Linked DNA regions of Cricetulus griseus. The protein of the gene in region 1 purifies or fractionates together with the protein of each later gene. This does not show direct contact. Links are inferred from orthologs where the notes say so. Each region holds a gene or a part of one and is shown in the gene's direction. Other genes may lie near its edges.

Evidence for each region.
Region 2: the proteins of Snrpa (region 1) and Srpk2 purify together in Homo sapiens (affinity purification with mass spectrometry; 4 studies listed by BioGRID and IntAct, with this or other methods). This does not show direct contact. The link is inferred for Cricetulus griseus from reciprocal best matches to the Homo sapiens genes SNRPA and SRPK2.
Region 3: the proteins of Snrpa (region 1) and Prpf19 fractionate together in Homo sapiens (co-fractionation; 3 studies listed by BioGRID and IntAct, with this or other methods). This does not show direct contact. The link is inferred for Cricetulus griseus from reciprocal best matches to the Homo sapiens genes SNRPA and PRPF19.

The regions. Positions count from the first base shown.
Region 1 is NC_048602.1:8,728,907-8,732,552, forward strand, and holds part of Snrpa (U1 small nuclear ribonucleoprotein A), read left to right. Parts: intron 1-1,422; coding exon 1,423-1,599; intron 1,600-3,646. UniProt on the Homo sapiens protein: Component of the spliceosomal U1 snRNP, which is essential for recognition of the pre-mRNA 5' splice-site and the subsequent assembly of the spliceosome. U1 snRNP is the first snRNP to interact with pre-mRNA.
Region 2 is NW_023276806.1:171,083,187-171,086,832, forward strand, and holds part of Srpk2 (SRSF protein kinase 2), read left to right. Parts: intron 1-592; coding exon 593-618; intron 619-1,766; coding exon 1,767-2,013; intron 2,014-3,019; coding exon 3,020-3,487; intron 3,488-3,646. UniProt on the Homo sapiens protein: Serine/arginine-rich protein-specific kinase which specifically phosphorylates its substrates at serine residues located in regions rich in arginine/serine dipeptides, known as RS domains and is involved in the phosphorylation of SR splicing factors and the regulation of splicing.
Region 3 is NC_048596.1:49,556,681-49,561,091, reverse strand, and holds the start of Prpf19 (pre-mRNA-processing factor 19), read left to right. Parts: upstream 1-1,578; 5' UTR 1,579-1,782; coding exon 1,783-1,801; intron 1,802-3,792; coding exon 3,793-3,942; intron 3,943-4,124; coding exon 4,125-4,201; intron 4,202-4,411. UniProt on the Homo sapiens protein: Ubiquitin-protein ligase which is a core component of several complexes mainly involved pre-mRNA splicing and DNA repair. Required for pre-mRNA splicing as component of the spliceosome.

The DNA.
Region 1 (3,646 bases):
CCATGGCAGGTGAGGGTGACCAAGGCAGAGGGACAAACATGCCCGGCAGAGCCTAATATATCGAGATGACCTGTAGTCTGTAAGGTTAAGATATCTTTATTCAGATAAACACCAGCCAAATGCAAGCCAGAGCGTGCCAGGGGCAGCAAGACAGGCAGGCCAGAAAAGGGGCCCCCATGTGCCTTGCAGCCCCTTAAAAACACATCATCCTGTCTCCACCTTGACCACGCCCTGACAGGCTTGGGTAAAGAGACAGAGAGAGGTCAGAAGAGAAGAGGGAGACAGGAAAAGTCCTGTCTGTCCCAGCAGAACAGCTAGAAAGAGAGGAGTGGGCAAAGAGAGCTGGAAAAGACAGCATAAATGGACTGGGGGTCTTTCTTTTAAAGGGGTCCTTCGCTGACTAAACAATCATGGAACTGGGCTGACCAGTGTACTGCCTGAGTGAATTCTGGCAGGGACAGGGGCAGCCAGCATAATGCCCGAATCCTTACAAGCATGTCTAAAACTCATCCAAAAACAGGCCCAAACTAGAGTGAGCAGAGGGTTCCCTGAGCCCTGTTCTTCCTCCATGCCTCCAGAGTGTCTTCTCACGTTGTCTTTGTTACCTGGCTCCCCACGTGCTCCTCCTCCTCCCACCCGGGCCTATCTGCAAACCACGGGGCCTTTTGAGAGCTCCCATCAGTCATCACAGCACTGCCTCAGCTTCTTAGAAAAGCACAAAGGGTCCCCCTTTGCCCTTGTGACCTGTCTTCTCCCTCTCTGTCCCTCTGCCTCAGTCTCCAGCAGCTGGAGTCCCAGGCCCAGCTTTTCTCATCTCTTAGCTTCCTGGCTGTTCTCTTGCTGCACACTCCATGTGCTCGTGGTGCTTGCTTCCCATCCCTTTCCTAAGTGTTAGATCTGAAAAGTTCACTTTGCAATGCACCAGGTCCCCTTCTGAGCATGGGACTTTAAAAATAAAATCATTTGTTGCTGGGCATGGTAGTGCATGCTTTTAATTTTAGGGAGACAGAGGCAGATGGGCCTCCAGGACAGCCTGTTCTACACAGGGAATTCCAGACCAGCCAGCTACATAGTGAGATCCTGTCTCAAATATTTTTAAAACTTCTTTCTTTTTAATTAAGTATTTTATTTTTATGTGTCCCAGCATATGTCTGACTTCTTCATAGCAGAATTGTAAGCACCTAGTCTAGCTTACAGTCAACAGCTGCTCACTGTATTCAGGGGACTGCTGCTTCTAGGCACTTAGACCTGCTAAGTTGCTACCACAGTCCTGCCAAGTGGAAAATACGCCCATTTTACAGATGAGGAACCTGTGGCCAAGCAGTTTAGTTTTTCTTAGCAAGCTCCTCGTGAGGTCTCATTTTGAACTCTTGAAGTTCCTTCTGATTTCCTTGGCCTTGACCTTTCTGCTCTGATTGGTAGCGCATCCAGTACGCCAAGACGGACTCGGACATCATTGCCAAGATGAAGGGCACCTTTGTGGAGAGGGACCGCAAACGAGAGAAGAGGAAGCCCAAGAGTCAGGAGACACCAGCTGCTAAAAAGGCTGTTCAGGGTGGGGCAGCTGCCCCCGTGGTGGGCGCTGTCCAGCCTGTACCGGTAAGCCCCGGGGCACAGGAATGTGTCCTTCACTGTCAGGCCTTCAGCCATGTGGCCTGATGTAGACTGAGGGGACTTGTCCTGTTGGGTCGGTGAGCTGTGTGGATGGGGGGTTCTCTTTTGAGTGCCTGTTCCCCACCATACACTTGGTTGCTTTTGAAGGTCTGTCCTTTTGCACACCTGTCTCCTGGGTCCCTTTCCTTGATTTTGGTTTTGTTCTGTGTGTCTTTACTTGAGAGAGAAGGGAGGGGGCAGAATGCACATGCACTACGCCCATGACTTTACAGAAAGTCAAAAGTTGTCACCCTCCTGTTAGAAACAATAGGCAAATCTAATTTAGAGACACTAGTGGATTACAAAGTAAAACAATTTAGCCTGTAGGAGGCACTACATTCAATCCCTAGTACTACAAGCAGGAGGAAGGATGAAGAACAAGTAGTTGTTTTCGGTGTTAATAAGCAAAGATGTCCCACATAGAGGAAAATCCAATGGTGAAACACCATAGCTGGGTAGGAGGTTGAGGGTCTGAGCAGTGATCTAGGGCAAACCAACATGACCGTGGTAGCTCTGCTTTTATCATAAAAGTGTTTGCCTAGCAACTTGAGTTCGTCCTTGGGTCCCATGGTAGGAGAAGGGAAACAATTCTGGAGCGTTCTCCAGGACTGAAGAGGGATCTAGAGTTCCAGCCTTCAAGGTGACGGTCATTGGCCTATGGATAGAGAGGGCTAACAGGGCAGAACAGAGTCGGGAAACACGCCCTAAGGAATCCCAGCGCAATTGGATCTGCAAGAGAAAAGTGTAGCCCTGTCTAGGGCTGAGGGTATGGCTCAGTGGTAGCCTGCTCACCTAGCTAACTCTCTCAAGGTCCTGAGTTCAATCCCCGGCACCAGAAACGGAAAGAAGGACGACCCCTTGTACTATGTATTATGTACAGCGTTAACTCATGCCAGGGGTGGTGGCCTGCAATTCTAGAGGTTGAGGCAGGGATTGGGAGTTTGAGGTCATCATGGGCCTGAATGTGACAGCAGATCCAATAGAGGCTCCAAGGGAACCTTCAAAGTGACTTTGTGATCTTGGTGAGTACACAAGATGGCTGAATTTTGCCCCCTCCTCCAGTCTCTGTCCCTCGTGAGTTTTGTCTCATGGCTGTCAGGCTGGGTCACACTTGCAGCTGGTGGTGGTGTCTGTGTCCAGCTGCTCATCCTTCTGTTCTCACCCTTCCCACCTTTGATTTGTTTTTTTATTTTATTTTTTTTTTAAGATTTTATTTATTATGTATACAACATTATTCTGCTTCCATGTCTATCTGCACACCCAAAGAGGGCACCAGATCTCATTACGGATGGTTGTGAGCCACCATGTGGTTGCTGGGTATTGAACTCAGAACCTCTGGAAGAACAACCGGTGCTCTTAACCTCTGAGCCATCTCTCCAGCCCCTTTAATTTGTTTTTATTTTTAGATGACATCTTTGTTGACTATGTTTTATGAGTGTTCATGCCATGGGGCATGCCATGGAGGTTAATTCTCTTCTACCAGCTAGACACTGGAGGTTGAACTCAGGTTGTCAGGCTTGGAGGCAGGTGCCTTTGCCTGCTGAGCCAGGTTGCTAGCTCCCATTTCTTTCCTTTAATAAATTTGATGTTTTTTATGTTTGTTTTTGTGGTTTGCTCTGTATATGTTGGGAATTGAACCCTAGTCCTGTAGAAGAACAGGCAGTGCTCTTAACCTCTTTCCTTTGAAGATCTAATTTTTGGGCCAAGTGTAGTGGTACATAACTTTAATCCCAGCACAAGGTAGGCAGGTCCTTGTGTGTTCCCTGCCAGCCATGCTGCATGGTGAGACATGTCTCAAAGGCAGGGGGTTGCTTTTTATTTGTGACTGTGTGGATATGTGTACACATGAGTGTAGTGCCTGTGGAGGCCACAAGAGGGCATTGGGTCCTCTAGAGCTAGAATTACAGAAGTTGTGAGCTGCCTGACTGGGTGCTAGGAACCAAACTGTTGTGGAACCCCTCTTAACCACTGAGCCATCTCTCCAGCCTCTCTC
Region 2 (3,646 bases), on another chromosome or scaffold:
CTGCAGATGTGCAGATTAAAGGGCTAAAGGTCTTATGACTGACAGGGACTTCAGAGAGGTTGCTTTCACCTCATCTCATATGCCATCATGATGTTATTAGCGCATGCAACCAATTTACAAAGGTTTTGACGCTTATAAGGCTGACTTCCAGAGTGATTGCTGCAATATGCTGCACTGTGTGACTTAGTTTAGTTTAGTTGTGTGATGTTTCTAAGTGGTTTTCAAACATAGCTGTGTATCTTCTCATCTGAAATGTTCATCGCCTCATTTGTGAAGCACATGTGGTTCTATGACAGACTTACAAACTATTCCTCCATTTCTCTTTCTTCTTTCCTCCATTTTCTTAATTTTTTAGTCAGTGCTTTGAGAGAGGCTGTTTTCAGGACAAGTGTCTTATATATGAACAGCTTATCCTATGCCCTGTAAGAGTCAGTTGTGTGTTTGCATTGCAGAAACTTTTTAGAAACGTCAGAGGTTTAGTTTTTTGAAGTTGGGTAATTATTAAAAGACAGTATTATTTCATTTTGCAAATGAGATTGTCCAAAGGTACCTGTTTTCCTCTGAATATCAATTTTGTTTTGTTTTGTTTTAGTGAGTACAGCTCCACAGCAAAAACCTGTAAGTATTTTACATGTATATTCAGCAAAAGAGACTATTCAGTGTTGAGCTTCACAAACTATGTAGCAAATGTTCTAATCTTTATTAATTTAAAAGTTGGCATGTTTATAAATGCTCTGTTCTCCCTCTCCCCAAAAAAGCTTGACTTTTTGTGTGGGACTAGTCAAAGCTATTATAAGACCAGTCTCTTCCTGTGCTCCCTGGGCTGCATTTGGCCAAGTTCAGTGAATTGCAAGGTTTTAGATTAAGTTTAAAAGAACCGTTTTAAAATTACTTCTGCTTGGCCTCCAAGTATCTTCTTTGACAAAACCCTTTTAATTTTTTTATAGTTAGCTGTGTAAGTGAGCATTATATATTCTGTGGATGTGCTGTCTTAAAAGAGAAGTCAAGTCTGGTGAATTGTTGCCAGAAAATCCAAATCACTTTTCTTTTTCTTTTTCTTTTTTTGGTTTTTTGAGACAGGGTTTCTCTATGGCTTTGGAGGCTGTCCTGGAACTCGCTCTTGTAGACCAGGCTGGTCTGGAACCCACAGAGATCCGCCTGCCTCTGCCTACTAAGTGCTGGGACTAAAGGCATGTGTCACTACTGCCCGTCGCAAATCACTTTCATAGTTTTACCCTGATCTAAGGATTTGGGCTTATGGGTCTTTGAAACTTTAAAGGTATTCATTGCCAGTATTTTCTAAGACATATGGCTGTAGCTGAAGGTAGGCAAAACTGTGGCTTTTCTTTTTTTGTCCTTTTATATTATATGTTTATTCCTGAAAGTTCATGTTATATTGCCTATCAGTCACAGCTTGGTATTAAGAGCCAAATGCAGACAGTGCTGTTTGCCACCTGTCTTGGTAGGTGTTTGTTTTTGTTGTTAAGAGTGAGAGTCATTCTGGATATAGGCAGCAGCAAAGAAAGGTTGCAAGAGATTCTTGTTCAAGGTGCTCGGTTCTAGACTTTCTAATGGAAGTTATGCCCCCTTAATGGCAAGACCAACAACATGAGCACAATCCTATCCTAAGGTAGAGTTTGTGATCATAACTGAGTATGATATGAAAAAGCAGAGTTGGAATTTGCCGTGTTGCCAGCACTTACACTCCTAAACAATGTTTTAAGAAGCAGCACCTAACCTATGGTACTTTCTTTACCATGTTGTAGATAGGAAAAATATCTAAAAACAAAAAGAAAAAGCTGAAAAAGAAACAGAAGAGGCAGGCTGAGTTGCTGGAGAAACGCCTGCAGGAGATCGAGGAATTGGAGCGAGAAGCTGAAAGGAAAACCATAGAGGAAAGTGTTACCACTGCCGAGCCATCCAATGAGCAAGATGATGGGTGTCACCTGGAGGGGAAACTAAAGGAAGCAGAATTCGAGGAGGCAGCTGAAGGAGAGATAGCAAAGGATAATGGTTAGTACAACTGGGAGCAGGGGGGAGGGCTAATGGGTGGGTGTCATGGAACTGCACGAAAGGCCCAGCCAGTGTGCCACACAGGTTGGCTTCATGCTGCTGCCTCAGATGTTAAGGACAACTTTCTCTAACTCTTGTTGGAGATTATGGGAAGCAGCCTATACGCCATCGGTAAAATGTATGCTAGGCATTATGTTGACATTTCAAAGTAGGTTTTCAAAAAGGGAAGAAGAAAGTCCAAGAAACATGTTTTTTTCCTGTTAATGATGCCCCTTATTTTATTTTGTGACTGACCTTTTGCCTAGCTTTAATACACCACAAACCTTATTCTAAAGCTGTAGAGGAAAGGGTTAGTGACTCAAAAAAATGGATCAGTGTTCCTGCAGAGGAACCAAGTCCGGTTCCCGCAGCACTTGTGTCCTGTTGCTCACAACTCCCTGTGACTCCAGCTCTAAGGCCATAGGCATGCGCGCGCGCGCGCGCGCGCGAGCACACACACACACACACACACACACACACACACACACACACACACACACACACAATTTACAGTGAAAATCTTAAAGATCAAGTACAATAACCATCTGAGGAAAGCAGTGGGGAGGGTTTGAAATGAAAATCCAGTTTTGCTTAGCATTTTACCCCCCAAACCAACTTGTTCCTGAAAATATAAGGCTAATTATTAAATAAGCAAAAAATAGGGTTTAGAAAGCCATTTTTGCCTTTTAAACCAATAGACATGTTCTGTGGTATATTAGAAGCATCTCTTAGTTGGGTATGATAGCAGATGCCTTTAATCCCAGCACTTAGAAGGCAGAGGCAGGTGGATCTCTTAAGCCTGGTCTACAAAGAGAATTCCAGATCAGCCAGAGCTACAGAGAGAAACCTGTCTGGAAAAACTAAAACCAGAAAAATACAAAGCAAAGTATGTCTTGTTGAAGAAGCTAACTAGTACTGCTTTGCAAGGAGAGTCATGACTCCTAATTTTAACCCTATGTTTGTTAAGGTGAAGCTGAAGACCAGGAAGAAAAAGAAGATGCAGAGAAGGAAAATGCTGAGAAGGATGAAGATGATGTTGAACAGGAACTTGAAAACCTAGACCCTACATGGATGGAGTCCCCTAAAGCCAATGGCCATATTGAAAATGGTCCATTTTTATTGGAACAGCAGCTGGAGGATGAAGATGATGATGAAGATGACTGTGCAAATCCTGAGGAATATAACCTAGATGAGCCAAATACAGAGAGTGATTATACGTATGGCAGCTCCTATGAACAGTTCAATGGTGAATTGCCAAATGGACAACACAAGAGTCCAGAGTTTTCCACATCATTGTTTTCTGGGCCCTTAGAACCTGTGGCCTGTGGTTCTGTGCTTTCAGAGGGATCACCACTTACTGAGCAAGAGGAAAGTAGCCCATCCCATGACAGAAGCAGGACAGTTTCAGCCTCTAGTACTGGAGATTTGCCAAAAAGTAAGTGTCCTTGTATCTCTCTCTCTGTTTTCACTGAGCAGGGTCATACCTTTGATAAACACTGTGAAAAGAGTTGGCTAAAGGGGAAGAGACACTTTAAATATGCACTAATCCTTTAATTTCAGTGCTTTTGTATTCAAGAACAAATGGAATGCTTTA
Region 3 (4,411 bases), on another chromosome or scaffold:
ACTGATTTATTTCCTCTCTATATCTAAATACTTGAGATGCCTGGCCTGTCAGGCAGCCTGCCATTCAGTAAACAATACTGGCAATGTCTCTGCTAAGTGTCAGGCACTGAGCGACACTCTTAGACTCTTGAGAACTAGTAGAGAGAGTAGTACAATCTAGTAGAGGACCCAGGTGCTAAAAGGACTTTCTAAATAAATAATTAAAACAATAGTTACTAAAAGTGTTTTGGAGAATTCCAAAAACCAGTGAGAGGTCAAGAAAGGGGCTGCAGAAGAGGCTATACTTAAGATGAGGCTGAGGTTTGCACTGGAGGGTTTGGCCAGGGAGGCGAAAGGAATTGATGAAAGCTGTCCACATAAACATTTTGAGCCTCCACATGCCAGTATTCTGGGGGCATTGAAGGGCGAATATGGCTGAGAAGATGAGGTAAGGCTGTAGAAGAGGTTGGCTCATTAGAAACCTGTGGTCTCAGGACTGACACCTGTCCTTCATTTAGGTCTCATCAAAAATGTCACCACCCTTTGGGCTGGTGAGATAGCTCACTGGGGAGAGGAACTTATTGCCAAGTCTGACAACCTGACTTCAATCCCAGGATCAACATGATAGAAGGAGTAAACCATTTCTCCTTTGATCTCCACACATGTGCTGTGACACACACACACACACACACACACACACACACACACACACACACACACAAACAATTTTTTTTTCTTTTTCGAGACAGGGTTTCTCCGTGTAGCTTTGGAGCCTATCCTGGCACTCGCTCTGGAGACCAGGCTGGCCTCGAACTCACAGAGATCCTCCTGCCTCTGCTTCCCGAGTGCTGGGATTAAAGGTGTACACCACCAATGACCAGCTCTAACTTTCCATTCTTATTACTTATTTAGAGACATGTTTCTATGTCTTTCTACATAGCCCAGACTGTCCTGGAACTTACTATGTAGACCAGGCTGGCCTTGAACTCACAGAGATCCACTTACCTCTGCAGCTGAGTGCTGTGATAAAAGGCATACATGAGCATGCCCAGAAAATTTCCATTCTTTTAATATCTACACAAGACGTTGGGAATTAAATTCCTTCCAGTCTAGAAAAGAGACTGTGTTTAAGACGTGGTAGACGACGAAGCCAGTGACTTGTCTAAATTCACAGAATAAGAGTAGAGACAGAACCTGGGCAGCGTTAATTTCTTTACTCATTTGTGCTTTATTCACAGGGTCACCTGGCATTGTTTCTCAAAAAGAGGCCAAGGAACACAGGCTTCAGAATCACGCCCACAGATTCTCTAAGGCAGACCCTAGAAATATGTATTTTTATAAGCTCCTGAGGTAATTGTCCTGCACACGACCGTCTCATATACTGCTGTGCCCTGGGTGACAGCAGCACCACGTCAAAAGCAGCCTTGGCCAAATTCCTGGGTTTATGGTTCCCACAGCCTCATGGGAAATGTAGTTTCGACTGACCTTCCCGCCTCCGGCCTCTGGGTGAGCTCGCCGGAAGGAGCCGAGCCAATGCGGAAACAGCCGAGTGTTCCGAGGCGGGCCTTTTCCTGCTCGATTGCATGCTGGGAAAGGGCAGTTTCCGTTAGCTGCTGAAGGCTGAGGCGCGCCACCGGCCACCTCCCCACGTGAAGCAGTTGTCCGAGCATCGCCAAGCCGGGCAGCTGTCTAACCCGCGTCCGAGCGCCCCGGAAGCGGCGGGGGACCGGAAGTGGCCCGCGGAGGCTGCAGAGCTAGTCCGGGAGCCCGCTGTGAGGCGACTGGCAGCGCTGCGACGGCGCCATGTCCCTGATCTGCTCGAGTGAGTGCTGGCTGCGGCGGGAGGCGGGAGCGTGGCTGCGGCCGGGGCCCCGGAGCCCGCGGCCCTGCGTGCGGGGTGCATTTGCGCAGTGCCGCGCAATTCACGTAGCTGGGAAGAATGACTGTGGTTGTTACACTGAGCGGAGACGGGCCTGAACGGGGTGGGGGGGTGGGAAGGGGGAGTTGGTGCAGGGAAAAACAGCTCCTGGTGTGGGAAAACCGAGGACGTGTCCAGCATCCGCCTCCGATTGTGACCTGGTCAGCAGCGGTCCAGGGCCTCAGTTTCCCCATCTGCAGCAGCATCCATTGAAAGCGTTGCAGTGGGTATTGCTCGGGAACGTCGCTTAGGCATCGATGTGTCTGCGATTTGCAGGGATCACGCAGTGACTTGGAGGCAAGGCTGGAAGCCAGGTGTCTGGCTTCTAGCCTCGCGCAGTATGACTAATGAAAACAGCGACCATTTAGGAGACCTGTATTGATGTACGACGCACTTCCAAACGATGATCCCATTTTATGCTTACAAAAAAAAATTGTCTGAATGGAAATAAAGATCCGTGATTTAGAGAGGGCGTCAGAAATCTTAGGAAGCATGAGGTTTATCCAGGGGTGTGCGGCACAGCTGGGCGGTGGAGCTCGGTTCTTTGAGCCCGGATCCATGCTTTTTCCATACTGTATGCTGTCTTGTCATTGGGTGTTTTGTTAACGGCATTGCGGGTGTTTACCTTCTTGTTTACCACATCACTAGCTTCCCCTCCCTCTCCATTCTCTTCTCAGAACGTTGCCATTAATTCAAAGAGGGAAAGGAAGGAGGGAAATGACAAACAGAAAAGGGAATTCACATCACACATAAGAAATTTCAGTTTGCAAAGTATTTTCGAACGATTTGTTTCCTTTTAATCTTGAGAGAGCACGCTTACATGCCCTGGGCCATCCTTCCTTTTTGTAGGGGAGGGAAAGCTCACTCAAGTGTTCAGTGGTTGAGTATGTGAGTGAGATAAGCCAACAGAATAGCACAGGAAAGCCATGTTTCCTCCCATACTTCATTACTTATGCATGGGAATCCTGCAAAAATAGGTGATTCTAAGGGAAGCTTGTACAGACCCATGTGCCACAGAAGAGAATAGGAGCTTGAGGCCTCAGGTGGGAAGGCAAACAGAATTATGTGGTGAATAAGAGCTGTTCTGTTACGTGATAAGTCTCTCGGGCAATAAATAATCTCTCTCAGAAGAGTCTTGAGTGTGGAGGTTGCTTTCACTCGTCTGCTGAGGTGAACCAATTGTCCCTGTTTAGGGGACGTTAGAGAAACAAGAGGGCCTGAGAAGGTCAGAGAGACCTTGATTCTGAGCTTGCTTTTGAGTTCTTCCTTTTTGGTAGTTCAGCATTACCAGGCTCCATACTTTGGGATATTTTTTATTGAGCCCCAGGATGTACCATGTTCTGATGTTTATCAAGTGTCTGCTTAGTATCTGCATTGTCCTGGAGGTCAGTGACAGCTGTGGTGCCCATCTTCAAGGGTACACAGACTATTCTGTCAAGTGCCTAGAATAGAATCTTGCTTGGCACACAGTAGCAGACACTATAGAAAGGTTTTTTATTTATTTATTTTTTAATTTATCAGTGCTTGTCACATTGCTTAGAAATTTTTCTGCCTGTTCCATCTAGGGCTCCAGACGAATGGCAGGGGTTTGAGTTGTGTGTACTTATTTGTCATATGCCTAGTCAGTCATATTTGTTCAAAAATGAGATGGCAGGGCATACTGACCACTCTTTATGGGACTGACATATAGTTATTATTTACTGGCTTTTATTATCAGCAGACTAGAGAACCTAGTTAAGTAGTTGGCAAGTATTCTAGGGCCAAGTACCAGCTGGCTTGCTGTCACAGACCTTGCTTTCTGATAGCTGAGTATGAGGACAGGGTCTTGTGGGGGCCGATACAATCTAGCCCAGGCCTCCTTTTACCCTGTGTTCACTACCTGCCTTTCTCTATAGTCTCCAACGAAGTGCCAGAGCACCCATGTGTGTCCCCTGTCTCTAATCATGTGTACGAGCGGCGGCTCATTGAGAAGTACATTGCAGAGAATGGCACAGATCCTATCAACAACCAGCCTCTCTCAGAGGAGCAGCTCATCGACATCAAAGGTGCCCGCCCGACCGATAGCCTAAGTCCAGGGCCAGCTCAACTCAGCCTTCAAGAGTGGGAGGAGGAGCCAGTCTGGTGGAGAAGATGGTGGCTGTGAATGAATAAAGAAAGGAGGGGTGGGGGAGGGGTGAGCCCCCGGGGTTCTGGTTCTTCATACCTGCTTTGCTGCCTCTCTTGGCAGTTGCTCACCCAATTCGGCCCAAGCCTCCCTCTGCCACCAGCATCCCAGCCATTCTGAAAGCCTTGCAGGATGAGTGGGTGAGTTCTTTGAAGAGTATGCACCTCTGGGCCTGGGGATTAAAAAGGTGGGACTGCCCTCCTTTTCTTTTTAATTTTTTATTTTATGTGTATGGGTCTTTTGCTTACATGTATGTCTGTGTGTCACTTATGTGCCTGGTGCTTGGGAGGCAGGGGGAGGGTGTGTGATCCCTTGGAATTGTGGTTACAGACCGTTGTGAGCCCCCATGT